Linked DNA regions of Sus scrofa. The protein of the gene in region 2 interacts with the protein of the main gene of each other region in a pairwise test. Links are inferred from orthologs where the notes say so. Each region holds a gene or a part of one and is shown on either strand. Other genes may lie near its edges. The genes, in order: ZBTB44, SMYD1 and FAM204A.

Evidence for each region.
Region 1: the proteins of SMYD1 (region 2) and ZBTB44 interact in binary tests that used the Homo sapiens proteins (3 or more experiments, as listed by UniProt). The link is inferred for Sus scrofa from reciprocal best matches to the Homo sapiens genes SMYD1 and ZBTB44.
Region 3: the proteins of SMYD1 (region 2) and FAM204A interact in binary tests that used the Homo sapiens proteins (3 or more experiments, as listed by UniProt). The link is inferred for Sus scrofa from reciprocal best matches to the Homo sapiens genes SMYD1 and FAM204A.

What each region holds. Positions count from the first base shown.
Region 1 is NC_010451.4:57,015,957-57,020,316, reverse strand, and holds the start of ZBTB44 (zinc finger and BTB domain-containing protein 44), read left to right. Parts: upstream 1-1,513; 5' UTR 1,514-1,732; intron 1,733-2,492; exon of another isoform or gene 2,493-2,783; coding exon of another isoform or gene 2,784-3,112; exon of another isoform or gene 3,113-3,119; intron 3,120-3,509; coding exon of another isoform or gene 3,510-3,536; intron 3,537-4,360. Other genes in the region: proline-rich protein 18-like, read right to left, coding at 1,059-1,107, 2,784-3,112, 3,510-3,536. UniProt on the Homo sapiens protein: May be involved in transcriptional regulation.
Region 2 is NC_010445.4:57,915,639-57,919,762, reverse strand, and holds the start of SMYD1 (histone-lysine N-methyltransferase SMYD1), read left to right. Parts: upstream 1-1,186; 5' UTR 1,187-1,280; coding exon 1,281-1,417; intron 1,418-4,124. UniProt on the Homo sapiens protein: Methylates histone H3 at 'Lys-4' (H3K4me), seems able to perform both mono-, di-, and trimethylation. Acts as a transcriptional repressor. Essential for cardiomyocyte differentiation and cardiac morphogenesis.
Region 3 is NC_010456.5:128,365,609-128,368,702, forward strand, and holds the end of FAM204A (protein FAM204A), read right to left. Parts: intron 2,537-3,094; coding exon 2,430-2,536; intron 2,128-2,429; coding exon 2,076-2,127; 3' UTR 544-2,075; downstream 1-543.

The DNA.
Region 1 (4,360 bases), on a different chromosome or scaffold from region 2:
GTGGGGGAGCAAGACTAATTTTGTTAATATAGTTGGAAAGATCTAATAAAGGAGCAAGGGCACTTTATGCAGAAATGATTTCTCCTCTATTGGAATGAGCCAAGTCAGACTAGAGATCTTGCAGTTAAGTGTCAAGCATTCTTATTCTGAAATAAGTTATGGACTAAGTAAGTTCCCACTCAGCTATAATGCTCTAACACAAGCAAGTGGCATTTGTGCCAGAATTTGGTCCCCCAAATTTATGGCTGAAATAAAACCCTCTTTGCCTGGAATTTGAATTCCTTAGCGTCACCTACACCAGGTTAATAATTAAAGGTTCCTCATACTGTTTTACGTTTGTTTGTTTCACCTGTATGCAGGATTCTGGTTTCAGAAAATCCTCCCAGTGGTATTATTTAATCGAGTGTCAAAGAAAGGTGTATATATTCCACCAACTGAAGGGCAAGCCTCTACTAGTCCAGGAAGAAAAAAGTGGGAGGCTGCAAAAGCCACAGAAACTAACCCTACCCAAAGCCAAAACAGAGGAAAGGACTACAACAAAGTTAATCTTTGTATTTCTTCTTACACCTTATCCAAGCATCTAGCACTGTGCCCTTAGGGCCCCACAGCCATTTGGTGGTTAATTGATCTTCCAGTCCCAGGGTGGGGGTGGAGTGAGAGGCCGATAATTTTTAAGTGTAAAATGAAAATCAGAATAGTACAAAAGGGAAGGAAAGGGAGAAAAGAGAGTAAACTAAAAAAGAAAGCTGGTTTTGTTTTGTTTTGTTTTTTTGGCCAGGGCTGCTACTCTTGCCACGAAAGGAAGTTGCCACCTCAGTCCCTTGGGTAATGAGTAGTAAGGACCTGACCAGTTGTCTTTTATTGACTGTCCTACTGAATACCCTAGGAGAGGTCGACACGATTTGTTTGACTTTATTCCCATCCTGATTCTTCTCCAGGTGTTACCTGTGCACCTGCTCTAACACCAGGACTTCAGGCCTTCCTGAGACTTGCTCTGTCGCTCCTGTTTTCCGCCGAGGGTAAGCATTCCACCTTCTTTTTTTCTCCTTCTTCAAATTTCAGCACAAAATTTTCTGGGCCTCTTTCACATCGTTCCGACTTGGATCTCTGAAATGGGAATAATAAAATGATGGTGGAAATAGTGGTAAAACTTATTAGTACTACAATTGCGGTGGCCGTTAGACATACATACTGGAAAAGCAGTTGGAAACTGCAAAAGACTATAAAATTAGACGTTGTTTTTATGGCCTTTATTTTTAAAGTGGGTTTCAGTGGTTAGAAAGAGGGGGTGCTAGGGTGCTGGTCTCTCGGAAAGATTAATGCAAGACGTTACCAAGTGTTTCAAAAGAAATCTCCACTCTACTTCGGGCGGGATGTCAGCTCACCTTGCACAAAGCCCTTTGGAGAGAAGTCTTTCGGTGTAAAAGCTGGAGGCGTGGGAAAACAAAGTATGCGAACCCAGAGCGCCTGAGGCACTGCAGGCCGCACCCCCTCCACCTCTGCGCGGCCGGCGGGCTTGCCTGGAGCGCGCTTGTACCCGCAGCCCTGGCGCCCCTTCTACCCGCCGATCTCCGTCCCGGGCGCTCGCCCGCCCGCCCCGGGACGCTAAGACTTGGGGTCCAGGAATTTTACCACTTTACATGATTTTGCAGTGGACCGAGAGCTCTAGAGCGCCTCCCGGCCGTACCAGTCACTTCGGGGCGCCCCACAGTCTTCCCCGCCGGAAAGCCAGGTTAGTGGTGGTAGAGCCAAAAAAATTCAAGCTTGTGGAAGGAACGGGCATATTTTGGGGGAACGAGATGAATTCCTTCAGTCACTTCAGAACCGCACGTCCCGCCAGGTGGCCCAGGGAGGGAAGTTCTAGAAAAATCCTCGGGCACCAATATGACGCCGGGGGTGCAAAGGCCGCAGGCAACCGGGACACCGGCTGCCTGCAGCGGAAGCGGGCGTGGGAGCCAGCGGGGCTCAGCGTCCTCACCTGTCAAGGCCGCCTCTCCGCAGGCCTCAGTTTCCGTGTGCGAGAAATGGGCCCACTACCAGCTCAGCTCCCTCACCAAGAGAAAGCGCCTGGGGTGTTCCGGTTCAACCCCGCTACAGAAACCACTCGAGAAAACAGGAGTTTCTTTCGGTTTTAGTTCAAAGAAAACAAAAAAAGACAAGAAGCGTGAACCATGCCCAGAAATGTTTGTCAGGGCTAACGGGAAGGCGGCTTTGGACGGGTAGAGGAAAAGCGAATTGGCCAGGGTCTGGGCGGTGTGTATCGGTAAATCAGCACGTGTGCACAGACGCAAAGATGCACGAGCGGTGTCAAAACCCGCGGGTGTCAGGAGGCCGAGTCGCCCACAGTTCAAGCCCCGAACTGGGAGCGGCCTTTTCTGCGGCTGCGCAATACCCGTGTCTCCCCGCTCGCGCCCCGCCCCCGAGCTCGCTCCGCCCCGCCCACTTGCCCTCCCCTTCCCCAGCCCGGCCGCCCGCGCAGAGCATTGTGGGACACAAACAAAGTGCCCCCAAACAGGCTGGAGTGAGCCGAGCGGCAACAGCGGCGGCGCCGTCCCGCACGCGCGCGGCGGCGGCTCCCTCCCAACCTCCCCCTCCCCTCCCCTCACTCCCCTTCCCCTTCCCCACCCCGACCCGCCAGGAAAACGCGAGCCGTCGCCGCGCTCCCCAAACCGCTTGCCCTCGGCCAACCGCCCCCAACGGCCGCTCGCGCGGCTCGCGGGGCCCCCTCGCTCCTCCCCTCAGGCCCTCGGCGCTCTTCCCTCCCGCCGCCTCTCGCCCCCCACCTCGCAGGCACGCCGCTGCTCGGGGCCGCCATGCCCCAGCCGCAGGCCGTCCACGGGCCTAGGCGCGGCGGCCCGAGATAGGGTCCCCTCCGCCTCCCGGGGGAGGAGAGAGGCTGCGAGCCGCGCGCTCCGCCCCCTCCCCCGGGCCGCCGCCGCCGCCGCCACCTCGCCGCCACAGCCTGGAGGGGAGGAGGAGGAGGAGCAGCAGGCCTCCGGGCCCTGGCACCGCCGCCCGCAGGTAACGAAGAGGGAAGGGGAGGGCGGGGGCCGGCCCTTTTTCGCCGCGCGCGCCCGCCGAGGGCTGCCACCGTGCGTCTCCCATCTGGGCGCTGGACGGTAAGGAACCGGGAGAACCCTATCGGGTGCTCTCAATGGTATCTAATCCTTTAGGGAGGAGACTGAACCTGGGCCCTGACGTCCAGGAGAAATTGCCCCGATCTCCCAGGGCGCCCCCAGTGTGCACGCGCGTGTGCCCAGCACCCTAACCCCGAGGAGGCGGGGTGTCAGCGTCCCACCTGGTCGTGCCGGGAGCCCGAGATCCGACTGTTCCCTCCTCTCCCCTGCTTCTTTTTCTGATAGTGGGGAAAAAAAGGGCGACACTTATTTAAAAAACAAAACAAAAAAACCCACGTTTTTTTCTTCCCTACCTGAGGATGGGTCTGCTTCTAGTCATTTTCTGCTGGCCTAGCCGGAAAAGGGTTACCTGCGAGTGACATGACGAGTTACGTTAGCACTGATGAAAGGAAACTGCATGCTTGTGAGTTGTATGATGCTTAACTAGAATTTAGGATAAAGCCCAAAAATTGTGTGCTTTATTGGAACTTATAGAAATGAAGACAAAAACTTCGTTTTTTTAAGAAAACGTATAAGTAGATTATCAGTTGGTCAGGAAGAAAGTCTCTAACTTCCACTTATTTTCTTAATGTTTTATTCGGATAGAGGCTAATACCAAAAGCAGACTTCACAATTTGATAGATACGAATGGTTTGGGTAGGTAGATTTTTTTGCCTAGAGGGTCTCAGTTGGAATTACTGGATTTTAAAAAATATTATATAAATCTTCATTATGCATTTACTTACCCCCGTCACTTCGCTTTAACTGCCAATGGACTTTTAATTTTACCTAATGTATCTTTATCGTGGAATGTGGCGATAATGAAAGGAATGTTTTCCTATAGCCCTGTATTTTAGAATGATAGCATTAAATAGGCAAACCAGGTTTACTTTTTCTGTGCTACACTACTAGGCATTTTACACATGTGATCTGATTTGATTCTTAGAACAACCTAATGACTTAGACATTATTACTTGAGTTTTATAGATGAGACAGAAACTTAAGTAATTTTAAGTAACTTTGCCTTAGGCCACACAACTAGTTAGTAATAGAAGTGAAATTTGTCCCCAGATATAATTCCATTGTAGAAATGTTTTCTACTGTGCCTCTCAGTATAGGAATACTTTTAAAAAACTTAATGTGAAAAATACCAGTCTCTCGGAAATTAAGGGAAAATGTAGTGAATACTCCAATACTTAGATTCAGTGATTAGCATTTTTGTGGTATTGACCCCCCCACCTCTC
Region 2 (4,124 bases):
GTATCTGGATGGTTTAGGGAAGATAAAGTGACTGAATACATAAAATATGGAAAAAGTCCCATTCAAAGTGCCGAAAGGTATGCTACTTCCTTGGTGCCTATTACTTCATTTACCAGTGAAACTATCCCCCTTGTTTTGTAACTAGGATATCAAAGTTGTCCCTGTAGGCTCAAAATTTAAATGCAGATTTAGCTGACACAGAAGCCAGCACTTACAAGCTACTGCACTCACAGAAATCCAGAGCACAGAAATCTGTAAATAGATGCATCCCAGAAACTAAAAATATTACCTGAAAGGTAAGCCACAGCTCCAGATCTGCAAGAGTCTTTCTTTTCAACCTCAGTGAGAGCTGCCTGGCCTTCAAGACAAGTGGCTTTTAGTTCAAGGGAGATTTTGCAATAATCCATCCAATATCCAATTACTATTTTTCTGGCAACAAACACATGTTTAAGGGAGATTTGATAGCCTGAGAGACAGGAGAGTGTTCATTGTCAAGGCCTGCCTGCTCTCATAATATAGCTTTCATCTAGCACATACGTGTTATCAGGGAATTCTCAGTCCTCCAGGCCCTGGATGGAGGTGCTGTGGGAGGCCCAGGTTATACTGGGGAAGAGGGATGCCCATTAGAACCTAAACGTACTGTTATGCACATAGCCCAGAGGCCACTTTTGCATCTGCTGCTTTCTGCAAACAGTCCACCCATGTGGATTTGCTCTGGTGCCTGGGGCGGGGGCGGGCGGGGGGGGGGGAACAAGGGGCCCGTCTCACTTGAGAAAGTCCAAGCCTGACAGCTGAAGGGTCCCAGAACAGTAAGCATCACCTCGCCTCTTCTCTTGGACCACTTCAGCTGTCTGCTTTGGATTGACACAGGCATCTGGCTGCTAAAAATACCCGACTGACCAAGTGCCGCCTATTCCAACTCAAGCTGAGCATGACTGCCATCCAGGACTTAACTACCCTTGCAAAAGAACTTTTCAAAAGTTTTCAGACCCAATATGAGAAGCACACCAACCCATAATCATTTTCTATGTTGTCGGTTACATTGGGCGGTGCGAGGGACCCTTCCCAGATCACTGGCCTCTGGCTTGCCCCATCCCTGTCTCCAAGAATAGAGGCAGAGGGGGAGGTGGGGACCCAGTGGCTGAGAGGGGGTAGGGAAGGGGAGGTGCTTGTCCATTTATAGGCTTGCTCTTTGGGATGCTGAAGGTGCTGAAATAGCAGCGAGGACAAGGGACTTGGCTCAGTGTTAAATATCTGCCGAGCTGCCCTAAGATTCTGAGATGACAATAGAGAGAATGGAGAATGTGGAGGTCATTACTTCTGAGGGCAAAGGCAGAGGTCTGAAGGCCACCAAGGAGTTCTGGGCTGCTGATGTCATCTTCGCTGAGCGGGCTTACTCTGCCGTGGTTTTTGACAGGTACAGAATGTGGGTGGTTGCCCTCTTTTCTCCTGTTGGTTTGGCTGTTGCCACATTCTCAAATATTTTGCTCTCAAAATCATCAGAGCAAGGGATAAAATCCATGGGGCCATTGATAAGGAATGGCATTCCAACAGCTAACTGTTTTCTTGTGTAACTTTTCCTGCAAAGAGTCACTGCCAGTGGGATTTGCTCTGGTGCCTGGGGTGGGGTTGCAAAGGTGATCAAAGGCTTGGGGGCAAGTGCTCAGAGCACTGGTGAACTTGGCTGAGTGGGAGTGCTGTGTGTGGTGAGGTTGGAGAGAAAGGGAGAGGTGGGTGTGGTGCCTTGAAATCTTTTCCAGAGGGCTCCATGTTTTTTAGCTTCTGAGATAAAATAAACATATTAGAGAAGTAAGTGAGTCCTGGGATTTTAAAAACATGTAAATATGCAAGTACTCCTGGAGTCCATTTGCTTTTGAAAATAGGAGTATCACCCATGAACGGGAATCCTCTTTTACCTTTCCCACCCAGAAACCCAGTCCCCTCTGTCTTTCCTCAGAGGTAATCCTTCTTGTGATTTTAATGATTCTTTCTAGAATATTCTTGTTCTATTGCATCTATCTGTCTATATCTGTACTTACCAAATATATAGCTGTAATTTGTCTTTTTTTAACAGAAATGTTATCATACTTCAGACATCATTCTGAAACATACTGTTTTCACTAAGCATGTTTTGATACTTATCCATGTGGAAACTGTAAGTTTATAGACACTTCTTTTAAATCGTCAAAGATCTGTTTTTTCCTCCCACGTGTAGATCTATCCATGTTGATCCATACGCTCTATGGATCACAAATTTTAACTTCTGTAGATATTCTTCCCTGTAAATATATGGTCTTTAAGAAATCTGTTGCCCTATTGAGAAACATTTGGTGGTCTCCATTTTTTTTCATAAAAACAAATATTTCTGCAGTTAAAATCCTCGATCATGTCCACTTGTACTCATGCGTGATAATTCTCTAGGATGAATGGCTAAAAGAGGAATCACTCTGCCATAGGGTGTACTTTTTTCCATTTTAATAGGATCTCCTTAGTGGGTCTGTTAAATTTACATTCTCATTTCCTCACAATCCTGTCCATCCTTGACCCAAACTTTCAAATTAGTACTAAATCTCTATTTTTCTTTTTTTTTTTTTTAGAAAAAACCTTATACTGTGATGAAATTATAACAGTATTCTCAAAAGTTGGGGTGGCCTGCCTGACATTGATGTAGTCTCAATAAAGATGGCCTCTGATCTTGGCTTCGTGACCATCCTGAGAATGGGCAAAGGTTTTCAGAGATAATTTGAGCAGCATTTGAATTCTCATTTCTTCCTACCTATGAAGACCTTCAGGGAGAAGGCAGCTGATACCAGCTGAGGAATATAAAGCAGCTGAGAGGACAGTAATACCTCTTGGGGGAGTGGGTCTTACCTTATTTATTTATTTATTTTCATCTTTTTAGGGCTGCACCCATGGCATATGGAAGTTCCCAGACCAGGGGTCCAATCGGAGCTGCAGCTGCCAGCCTATAGCCACAGCCACAGCAACGCCAGATCAGAGCAGCATCTGCGAATCTACAGTGCAGCTCACAGCAATGCTGGATCCTTAACCCACTGAGCAGGGCCAGGGATTGACCCTGCATCCTCATGAATCTTAGTCAGATTTTTTTTTTTTTTTTTTTTTTACCACTGAGACGCAATGGGAACTCTGGGTCTTACTTTGTTAATGTAATTGTGTGTGTGTGTATGTGTGTGTGTGTGCGTGTGTCTGTTGGGGGTGGATGAGGAGTTAGTGGCATCCAAAATTAAGACATAAAAAGCTGGAAACACAGGGTAGTTCCCATTGTGGCTCAGTAGTAAGGAACCTGCCTAATGCCATGAGGATTCGGGTTCTATCTCTGGCCTCACTCAGTGGGTAAAGGATCCGGTGTTGCTGTGAACTGTGGTGTAAGTTGCAGATGTGGCTCGGGTCTGGTGTTGTTGTGGCTGTGGTGTAGCCTGGCAGCTGCAGCTCCGATTTGACCCCTGGTCTGGGAACTTCCATGTGCCACATGGCCCTAAAAAGGAAAAGGAAAAAAAAATCTAGAAACACAGGAACCCTGAATAATCTTGGTGCTGCCACTGAGTTGCCACCTTGCCTTTTAAAGAACCTCCATGGGTTTCTGCAATTCCCTAAAAGCCAATATGGCCAATCAGTTTCTCCTTCACGACGGTTTGGAGTTGAGTGGGTTTTCCCTTCATTATAAAAGTCAAATTTAGGAAGAAAAAAAGGTATCTTCACACCAAGATAACTCAACCTTGTTGATTGTCTCCTGCTTATTTTACAACACAGGGTTCATTTGTTTGTACTACAGGCTTGTATATTATTATATATAAACTACCATTTTTTTAATGGCTGCACCTGCAGTATATGGAAGTTACCCAGGCCAGGGATCAAACCTGTGCTTCCCCAGAGACTAGAGCCACTGCAGTTGGATTCCTAACTGACTGTGCCACAGTGAGAACTCCAAACTATCATGGGTTTTTCATTTAATGATTTAGATGTCTTCTGTGTCACTACACTCTCTTCATGAATGTAGTACTTAACAGCTGCAAGTTCTCCGACCACTCCTTTGTGACTGTACATTTTGTTTACATGTTTTTCTTACTATAAAGAATTCATCATTCACATGAAATAATAACTAC
Region 3 (3,094 bases), on a different chromosome or scaffold from region 2:
AGGGAGCAGGCCGAAGAAGGGCGTCCACAGCAAGACCTGGGGTCGGGGGCTCCCAAATCAGACCCTACAGGAGGCCACTCCGGTAAGGCCTCAGCACGAGCAGAGTGGGGAGTTGTGCCTGGAGGGAGATGGGTGTCTGTGAGCCCTGTGCATGAGAATACGTTCATCACCCGCCAGCTCAAAGAGGATGTTTGGCAAGTTTTGGACAAAACCACGGGACTGTGTGGTGGATAGCTCCCCCATGAGAGATTTTTCAGAGGAACCTTCTCTATACTCTAAGTTTTTTTTTTTTTTTTTTTTTTTTGCTATTTCTTGGGCCGCTCCTGCGGCATATGGAGGTTCCCAGCCTAGGGGTCTAATCGGAGCTGCGGCCACCAGCCTACACCAGAGCCACAGCAACGCAGGATCTGAGCCGCGTCTGCAACCTACACCACAGCTCACAGCAACGCCAGATTGTTAACCCACTGAGCAAGGGCAGGGATCGAACCCGCAACCTCATGGTTCCTAGTCGGATTCGTTAACCACTGCGCCACGACGGGAACTCCTATACTCTAAGTTTTATTCACCTCTTAGGAGTGCAAAATAAGATGGTGCAGGTAAGTTGTGTATGATTATACCTACAGACCCCAACAAAGGAATGTTTAAGCAGAAATGTAAAGATTTCCCAATATTTGGTCTGAACATCTTTTCATGATGAATTAATTCTATAAGCAGATACACTATCTCCTAAAATCTTGCCTTCTTTATTACATGATATGATTTTTGCTCTCTTGAATAGCAACTAGTTGCTGACTTAGTCCAAAACAAAGGAAAAAACCCCATTAAATATGTCATCATAATTAGTAAAATTTGGTTATTAATTGTAAGTCTAAAAGTAACAAAATACTACTACTAATAATATAATTACAATCATGACTCATCTTCTATGTTCCTGAATTCATATTATTAGCCTAGAGAAAGTCTGTATTAGATGGCTAGAAAACCTCTGATGAAGGGAAGTGAATTAATGAAAACCCACCAAAAGCAGTTCTTTCCCTCTGCTGAGCACCAAGAAGGAGGTGTCAGAACACCAAAGACCTGCCCAAAAAATCACAACTTCCAGCCGTGGTCTCGTCCACCAGCTTGTGACATGATTTCTCAAAGCACACTTCTGATGAAAACTACTTCTCAGGGAAGCAATCCCCTTCATCATTCATTCATTCATTCATTCAATCTTTCCAGGATTAATGGGGAAGAGGAGTAAAAACAATCAAGCCAACGTTCTTAGAAGTTCAAAGTTACACTGTCTTGAGTTATAACTAACAATATCACACCAATTTCTCCTCTAAGAACCATCTCATAATTTAAATGACAGAGGCGAGAGAGAGATTTAAGAAGACATTTCCAGGCAGAGAACTGGAATTTAAATCATCCTTCAAACACTACATTCTGTCATTTCTTAAAACTGTGATACTTAATCTGAAAGTACACAGAAATTAATCAATTGCTTTTATTATGTGACTGTGAAATATCAATGCTACTGCCTCTAATAAAGAATCAATAATTACTTTGATAACATTAAGATAATTAAAGTTGTTTGTAAAGTGACTTACAAATTGGAAAAGTCTCATTATCAATTGAGACTTTCTTGCACTTATGACTAATCCATTACAAACAAATGACAATCTTAAAAACTCCAGAATAACTCCAGAATGAGTGTAGTTACACTGAGTACAGATAAGAAAGCACGAGGAGCTCTTTGGCTATGCTACACCAAATGGATGAAAAGTAAAATTGATTTTATCCTGGAGGTCCAGATAAACAAAGAAATAAAATCCTATCTTTTCCCTCCATATGTATGCTTAAATTTCCTGTACAAATAACAGAATTCTCCATGTCATTTACTTCAATAGGATGAACTCTTTAGAAAAAGACTGAAAAAGATTTGATAATCAACTCCCAAATGTTATGCTTATTTTTTCTACTTCCATCAATTTCCTGATATAGTTAACAGAAGCAGGAAAATTTTTTTCAGTCAATTGAGCAACTGAAGATTCAAGGGAGAAGTCTTGAAGGTCTTGAGGAATTCTGACAAGTCACATATACCCCATGTTACTTTTGGTTTCCCACCTCTTCTTTGCTTCAAACCTAAAAGGAAGAACATGAACATCTCAATTGATTGCTAAATACTTTCCTAAAGTCACATGTTTACTAAGCACCAAAGTAAAAGTAAAAAGTTTTCAGATGGTCCATCAACCAAGGATGAGGAGATGTCTCCATATGTATAACCTGATAAACATTCAGCAAAGATACAAAGAATAAAATGAGTAACAATGACAAAAACGGATTCCCAAAATGTATCACAGGATTTCCATAATTTAGTTAGTAGAATTACCAAAAAACAAAACAAACCAAAAAACCAAAACCCCCCACAAAACCCTTAAACTTACCCCCAGGCAAGTTTCTTCTTTTTTCGAGCAACCTGTGAATTTTCAGCATCTTTTTTGGCTTTCACAAAGTTGTGGCAGGCAATTGCTTTGGCAATTTTTACACCAAGCTAGCAATCACAAAGGAGACAAAGTCGAGATGAATATTCCAGCTAGTGTAAGAATGACAATGGTAGAATACTCGAGAATTTGTGGGGGAAGAAAGCCAGTCTACATTGCTTTAGACATGCTAAGAAGAGACATTCTTATGATCAGCCCCCTCCCCCAAACCACCAAAAGGAGTGCAAAGACAGCCCCAATTCCCCTCCCCTCCCCTCTGGCAGGCCTTGTCCCCAGTTGGACCAGTCTCCCAGACGGAGATCCTGCCCACACGAAGGCCCTCGAGGGTCCGCGGGGCGGAGGATGAAGATCCTGAAGCTATTTCAGCCTTTCAGGAGACCAGACAGGAATTTACCCGATAAGGCTGCGCAGGCTGACAGAGACATCAAGTTTCTTTGCTCGGGGCTGGAATTACGGCAACTGAGTATGGGCACACCCGTTATCTCACGCTGATCACAAGCTCGGACTGGCAGTCACAGATGTGATTAATAAAACATGGAAAGCTAATTACTACTTCATAAACATACCTTGTGTGATGGGCAATAGCTTTTCACTCACTGACAGAAAGA